2 separate regions of the Mus musculus genome follow, and region 2 is reported to be linked to region 1. Evidence: microRNA targets listed by miRTarBase, many of them from high-throughput screens and not tested one by one. Region 1 holds a microRNA gene; the other region holds the end of a gene's coding sequence.

Evidence for each region. Region 1 holds the annotated microRNA mmu-miR-465c-5p (UAUUUAGAAUGGCGCUGAUCUG, at 2,707-2,728, shown strand). A microRNA usually pairs through its seed, bases 2 to 8, with sites in the 3' UTR of a target mRNA and lowers its output. Matches are read on the target gene's strand: a 7mer-m8 pairs with bases 2 to 8, a 7mer-A1 pairs with bases 2 to 7 and ends in A, and an 8mer does both.
Region 2: miRTarBase lists Arl4a as a target of mmu-miR-465c-5p. Seed matches in the 3' UTR shown: 7mer-A1 at 1,232-1,238, 7mer-m8 at 1,319-1,325 and 7mer-m8 at 2,237-2,243.

Annotation. Positions count from the first base shown.
Region 1 is chrX:66,831,226-66,835,293 of GRCm38, reverse strand. Mir465c-2 (microRNA 465c-2) reads left to right here and starts at 2,697; the gene lies at 2,697-2,777.
Region 2 is chr12:40,032,509-40,036,568 of GRCm38, reverse strand. It overlaps Arl4a (ADP-ribosylation factor-like 4A), which reads left to right. Exons shown (of 2, transcript NM_001039515.1): 2 at 1-3,278. The coding sequence ends at 425. Among named protein-coding and RNA genes, the nearest start is that of Arl4a, 3.4 kb to the left of the region's middle.

The sequences.
Region 1 (4,068 bases):
AGCCTTGGCGTTCCCCTGTACTGGGGCATATAAAGTTTGCAAGACCTAGAGGTCTCTCTTCCCAATGATGCCCAACTAGGCCATCTTCTGCTACATATGAGCTCTGGGGATACTGCTTAGTTCATATTGTTGTTCTACCTATAGGGTATGGTCCACTATGTTCATAGCCGCCTTATTACAATAGCCAGAAGGTGGAAAGAACCCAGATGTCTCCCAACAGAGGAATGGATACCGAAAATGTGATACATTTATACACTGGAGTACTACTCAGCTAATAAAAACAATGAGATTATGAAATTCATGGGCAAATGGATGTATCTGGAGGATATCATCCTTAGTGAAGTAACCCAATCATGACAGAAGTGGTTAGTTATGCACTCACTGAGCATCGGATAATAGCCCATAAGCTTAGTATACTCAATTTGTAAAACACAAGAAGAGGGAAGACCAACTGGTGAATACTTCTTTAAGGTTTCTAATGTAATTAAATAGAAGGTTTTAACATAGTCCATGTTTTCCTGAATTTCACCACTCTCTGTTCTGTATTTTATTTTATTAGGTATTTTCTTTATTTACATTTCAAATATTTTGCCATTTACCCATTTCCATCCTATCCCATCTAACCTCCTCCTGCTTCTGTGAGGGTGTTACCTCACCCACCCCCTTACTCGCACTTTCTTGCCCTAGTATTCACCTACATTTGGGATATCAAGCCTTCACAGTACCAAAGGCCTCTCCTCAGATTGATTCCCAACAAGGCTGTCCTCTGCTACATATGCAGGTGGAGCCATGGGTCCCTCCATGTGTACTCTTGGTAGGTTGTTTAGTCCATAGCAGGTATGGGGTTCAGGTTGGTTGATACTGTTGTTCTTCATATAGGTTGCAAACCCCTTCATCTCCTTCATTACTTGCTCTAACTCCTCTATTGGGGACCCTGTGAACAGTCCCAAGTCTTTTCTAGGAGTATGACAAAGTCTCTAGGATATGATGGGACATGTTCGGGCAGTACAAAACAGTTAACTTATGTGACTTAGATCTTTTCCAGGACTTCTTTGTCTGAAGTAAATCTCACTCATACAATGTTTGTGGTGATATAATTTGGTTAAAACTTCAACATGTGAGAGATAAACCTTTTTGATAGCAGGATGCATGGTAACTGTCTTGATATCAATGTAACTTCGGGTGTATTCACCAGAGAATTGTTTATTGTAAAATGTACAGGTTAGAAAACAAATGTAAATAGTAAAAGCAAATAAGCCAAATATAATAATTGTAGTAAAGTAGACAAAAAAAGAAAATAGTAGTCAACATATTGCTTTGTTACAGAGATGAGTATTCATTTAAAGAAAAAACATGAGTAAATGTACATTCAGGGAGAATTTTGATAGATAGTGAGAGAATTTCCTAAGTAGAACAGGATGAAAGCTAGTACTTTATGTATGTTATATTATGTTTATTTATGTTATAATTACAGTTGAAAGTATGGGGAAGGGTAAAGATACGTGAAATCAGCACTATATACCAGGCTATAGTCTTGATTTGTTTCAGTCCTATAAACACATGAAGAACAAATCTTTGTGTAAAAACAAGGATCATCATGCCCTGAAATTGTTGTACTCTGGGTGTAAATGGCAGTATATATGCAGTTACTATCTACCCAGGAACATTAGAACACTAATTTTTTGTACAATAGGGGGAATAGGTACCAAATTTATTGATGACTATTTCATACTTTAGTGTTAAAACAGGTAGGGAATCTGGGCAAAGGCATAAGTTTAAAATATATTTTGGTTTCTTTTCTAGAGTTTATAAGTAGAGGTCAGTTAATAAATTCTAAACTCTATGGAGTACAGTGATAAAATTACTAAGAGTGATGGATCTAGCTGAGGCAATACTGACTTGAAATTGCCCTGTATTTGTTCAAATTCTCTCATTCTCTGCATCCTGCCCAATTCTGGGTCTGTGTTTTTCCATCCACTAGCTTATTATGGCTGATCAAGACACTGGTATGCGTATAGGAGAACATCCTTAGGAGTCATTTAATTGTACATTTAGAAGAAAAATAGAACATGTGTTTCTTTCCTAGGCCCATGACTTAGATTCTTGACCCCAGGATATGGGCTCCATCTTGTACAGCAGGCCTTAAAACCATTGAGAGATTAATTAGTTACTTGCATTGCATTTGTGCCACTATTTCACCAGTACAGCATGTAGGCAAATCACCATGTAGAGCACATGGTTTGTAGTTGTGTTGATGGTTACATTTATCCTCTGGTATCATTCAGAGTAACTTTCAGTACCATGAATGCTGATTAGTAGAGGTGCTGATTCTACAGGTACCACTCTGACTTCCTTGTTCAATAATATCACCTTATGAAGAGTTTTTGCAATTTACAAAATATTTACAAAAGCCTAAGTTGTTTGCTGGAGGAAACCATTTGGCTAATGATCCAACTAGATATAAACAGTTCATCACTGCATGTTTCACTTGGTGGTGAAAGGTGTAAAGTTGAGAGCATGGTTTTCCCCATTATTTAGTGACTCTATTTTGATTTCTCATATATATTAAAAGAAACTTCTATAGTAGAAGGATTCTGTATGACCCTTTACTTGGCCCTTAATGGCTATAATTAGAGGTTTGATCAAGCTAAGAAGACTGTTTATGAATGTGTGAACATTTCATTACAGGCTTTGTATGCAATGCCCTATTTAGAATGGCGCTGATCTGATGAATAAAAAAAAAATGATCAGGGCCTTTCTAAGTAGAGTAAGGCTTACCAACTTCTACGTTTAATATGACTCGTAGATGAATATTCAGAGTATCTATAAGTACATGTAAAGTGCCTTCTGTAATTATGGATGAGCTTGCACATATCCACGTTCTTGTTTTTCTACTTCTATTTATGTATTTATTTATATTTTATTTATTTATCTATTTATCTATTTATCTATTTATTTATTTATTTATTTATTTATTTATTCTTTCCTCATGTATGACATCCAGACTCTAGTTTACTTCTTTCTATACACCTCATAGCCCCTGCCCTACACTTCCCCTGTCCACCAAATCTACTTCTCTTCTCCATTTCCCTTCACAAGAGATCAAGCCTTCATATTTGCTCTACAGTAGATAATATTCATCTAGAAATACATCCATTTCTTTTAGGTTTCATTCTTTTTTTCTTTTTAAAATTTTATTAGATATTTTCCTTATTTACATTTCATATGCTATCCCAAAAGTTCCCTATACTCTCCTTGCACCCTGATCCTCTACCCACCAACTCCCACTTCGTAGCCCTGGCATTCCCCTGTACTGGGGCATATAAAGTTTGCACGACTTAGAGGTCTCTTTTCCCAATGATGGCCAATTAGGCCATCTTCTGCTACATGTGAGCTCTGGAGATACTGGATAGTTCATATTGTTATTCTATCTATAGTGTATGCTCCACTATGTTCATAGCCTCCTTATTTATTATAGCCAGTAGCTGGAAAGAACCCAGATGTCTCCCAACAGAGGAATGGATTCAGAAAATATGGTACTTTTATACACTGGAGTACTATTCAGCTATTAAAAACAATGAGTTTATGAAATTCTTGGTCAAGTGGATGTATCTTCAGGATATCATTCTTAGTGAGGTAACCGAAATACAAAAGATGTCATTAGATATGTACTCACTGATGAGGGGATATTAGCCTATAAACTTAAAATACTCAATATACAATTTGGAAAACACAAGAAAATCAAGAAGGGGGAAGATAGGTGAATACGTCTTTAAGGTTTCTTATGTAATAAAATACAAGGTTTTTAGATACTCCAAGATTTCCTGTTTTTACCACTCTCTATACTGTTTTTTAATTATATTTTATTATATATTTCCTTTATTTAAATTTCAAATGTTTTCCCATTTACCAATTTCCCCCCTATCCCATCTATACTCCTCCTGCTTCTGTGAGGGTGTTACCTCACCCACCCACTTTCTCCCACTTTCCTGCCCTGGTATTCACAAACATTTGGGGTATCAAGCCTTCACAGTACCAAAGGCCTCTTCTCACATTGATTCTCAAAAA
Region 2 (4,060 bases), not on the chromosome of region 1:
AGGTAACCTTGGGCAATTCCAAAACAGTCACTTTTCACTTCTGGGATGTAGGTGGTCAAGAGAAGTTAAGACCACTGTGGAAGTCATACACCCGATGCACAGATGGTATTGTGTTTGTGGTGGACTCTGTCGATGTTGAGAGAATGGAAGAAGCCAAAACTGAACTTCATAAAATAACTAGGATATCCGAAAATCAGGGAGTCCCTGTGCTTATAGTTGCTAATAAACAAGACCTGAGGAACTCGCTCTCTCTCTCAGAGATTGAGAAGTTGTTAGCAATGGGGGAACTGAGCTCATCGACTCCTTGGCATTTGCAGCCCACCTGTGCAATCATAGGAGATGGGCTAAAGGAAGGACTCGAGAAACTACATGATATGATAATTAAAAGGAGAAAAATGTTGCGGCAACAGAAAAAGAAGAGATGAATGGCAGTACCTTTTATATTGGTGTGGAATAGGTTTTCCTGGGTCTGATTTCTGACAAGCTGAAGAGTGTCTACAGCCTGGTTTGCCTGTCTGCCCTCATGGATGCTATTAAAGCTTTGTTTTGTTGAACAGTCAGATACCCAACTCTGTTGCCTTGTGGAAGATGAGTCAATGCAATGCTTCTTAAAGTGGTCTCTTCTCCCTGACCCACAAATCTTTTGGTACTACCATTTTGGGAAGTCAAAAAAGGCTAGTAATTGACCAGAAAACAATTTTGTGGAAATTTGACCTGAAGTTAGTGAAATAAAACTTTGAAGAGTGTATGCCCTAGTGTTTTGTGCTTGTATCTTTTGGGGGGAAGCCTTTGCCAAGAAATTGCAAACGAGGCTTTGTAAACACAAAATGCTAATGAATGGAAATGTTAAGGGAGATCAGTGTGTACACATGCACACACAGCTAAGTTGAACACGCTGCGATAAGAAGGAAGTATTTTTTCTGGAGGTTTTGACAAGGTGGTTTTTAACGTTATTCTGGAAACAATTTAATGCTATCTCTTTAATTCTAGAAAATGTTTAATTTAGTTGGTCTAGCATTAATTAAAATATTTGGGGTATATTCAAGTGCATGGGTTAGTTTTCCTGACAAGCATGTTTTGGTGTATAGTTTTTAGAAATAGCTATGCATCTGTCTACACAGGTTTAAAACAACATTTTGGGGTCTTGGAGCTATTGTAGAAATAGTTCATTGTCAGAAGCGCACTATTACTTGAACCTAAAAAATGACTGATGTAAATATGAGTATGTTGACTAAATACATATGCTTGAATACATGAATGGATTTATAGAGAAAGTGGTGGTGAATTCAGTTAGAGGGAATTACTGTAATACATAGTCTCTAAATGATCTAGTTAAAAGATACTTGTTTTGTTACTATTTACCGGATGGAAACGGATTTTTTTCATATATTTTTGTAGCATTTTGGGAGAAATGAAAGCTTTATAATTACTTGATACACCGTGGAATGAAAATGTAAGGTACCTTTCAGTATGTGCTCTGAGCTTTAATTTTTTTTGTTAATTGGCTGAACAGTATTTCCAGAGCTTCCTAGCTCTGGTTGTAGGAAGAAATGGTACAGTAGTGCAGATAGCAATTAGGAGCCTAGAAAATGAACGGGAGAAGTAGCAAAGCCATTTTAAGACAATTAACTGGTGCTGTTTCTTCTGTAATAAAAACAAAATGAAATTACAAGGAGGGGAGAGCTTTCATTTTTCTCTCCAGGAAGACTTATTTCCAGAAATCACATACAGCAAATCAGCATGTTTCCTATGTTTGAAGCCAACAGCTGTTTGTACTGAAATCACCAAAGGAAGTGCACTTTGCTAACAGGACTCGGTTTGATTTTTGAGCTTTTACTTTTTTTTTTCTTTTCAGTGACACAGGTGAATTTTTGGAACTTTGATTCTTGTTACAAAATGACGTAGCACCCAGTGGAGCGTCCATGTCAAATGTGCCTGTGTTAGGAGTAGAGCTGTGGAGAATAGTTACCAATAAACAGCTGGAGGCATTAGGATAACAATCTCACTTGGAGTTTATATGTATTTCCACTTCTGTAGCTTTTAATTAGATGTGTAAGAAGAACGTTTATCAGCTGGAATGTTTAGTTTTATACTAGTGTGGATTTTCTCTGGTGAGGTTTCCACAGAAGGCTAGTTTCTGGGGGTTCACCCCACCCCCACCCCACCCTTTACTGAGTTCAGTATTCTCCCCCAAATCCCTAGTCTTGATGGGATCATAAAGCTGGTTTTCCTCAATTCTAAATCAGTGTAAATTTTCACTCTGCTTTTAACTGGGAGGCAGATCTCTGAGTTCAAGGACAGCCAGGGATACATAAAGAGACCCTGTCTCAAACAAAACAAAACAAAACAAAAGTTTGTGTTCACTAGCTCTTGACCCTTGTTCTGTACCTTAGAATTGGACCATCAAGTCCATGTTGTTCTTATTTATAGAACAGCAAAATGGCCATTGCATAAATTGTATTTATGTGAGCCACTTCAATTAAAAATTTAAGTTCAAAATGTATATCACCTATTAAAGCTATTAATCACATAAGCTAATGAATCTATGTAGGTTTTTAATTTTAAGTTAAAAAGTATCCTTTTTCAAAGTATATTTGTCTTTTTAAAGTGTCAGGGATCAAACTCTGGGCCTCCTGTATGTGAAGCAGTCATCAATGAACTACATCTCCCAACACCTAAAGTGTATTTCTAAAATAGTTAACTGTATTGGAAATGAGTTGGTTTATACAAAGTATTAATTGGGTTAAACATTCTAATTTAAAATTACTACTAGCAAGCAAAGTTTTAAAATATCCTTTGATACTTAAAGAGTCATATATCCAAACTTATGCTAAAATAGATTATAAATGTTATGGTTTAGCCTAGATAAATTCATTAATAATCATAAAATCCTTACAGGAAGCTAAAAACTGCAGTGTTAGGATATGTAGATGGAAGTCAATGACTACTAGTCTGTAGGTAACTGGATGATAGCTTAAGAATGAGAGTAAAGGGCACATAATTAGAATGTTTTGGTACGAGTTGGGATTATGGGTACAATGGGTGCTTGCCTATCAGGTACAGGGCTCTGGGTTTGAGTGCTAGCACTGCAAAGGAAAAATAAATCACTTACCAGAATGGCTTGTTTAGAAGAGTTTAATTGTTTATAGTGGCCATGAGAGAAATCTGGTATAGTGTATCAGTGTTCTATTTAATGTAATGGTTTTATCATATAAACGATGATTTTAGCGGTAACAAAACACAAAATGTTTCTTCAAAATAAATTAATGCAACTTGGAGTCTTGCGTTAGACTATCATTTGAAGTTCAATTTTTTATTATTGTTTTTCTGAAATAAGGTCTATGTATGTCATCTTCTGGGTGCTGCCTCAGATTATCAGCATATACTATCACACTTAGATTAAGATTTCATATTAAAATTTCATTCTTGCAGGACATTCTGGAAATGGATAGTATTGATGTAAAATAGTCAAGTTCTTTTTTAGCTGAGACTTCCATATGAGCAAATGATACCAAAAATTCACAAATTAATATTAAAGTACTCGGAGACCAAAGATTTTTCCAATAGACTGCAGCCAGGGAATGTTTCAATTTTGTGCAAATTCAAAATACAGAGGTATTTAAGGAGAGGATAGATTTGGAGAAGAATAATCATACTACTAAAAACATGAGATTCAGCAGGGCAGTGGTGGCACACGTGCCTTTAATCCCAGCACTTGGGAGGCAGAGGCAGGCAGATTTCTGAGTTCAAGGCCAGCCTTGTCTACAAAGTGAGTTCCGGGACAGCCAGGGCTACACAGAGAAACCTGTCTCAAAACCAATCAATCAATCAATCAATAAATAACTCTTGAGGTTCAGAGTTAGTGCTAAACCTTGGCATTTTTGTTAGACAATTAGCTCTTTGAGCAAATCCTTTGAAACTTGCCAATGTTTAAGTGACATTAATGTTAAGTGACATGTAGACTCACGTAGCCTGAGAAGGGGAATGGTGTGTTTAAGTCCTTACTGAGTAGGGATTTGTTCAGATGCAGTATGGTATCATTGATAATGGCCACACAAGC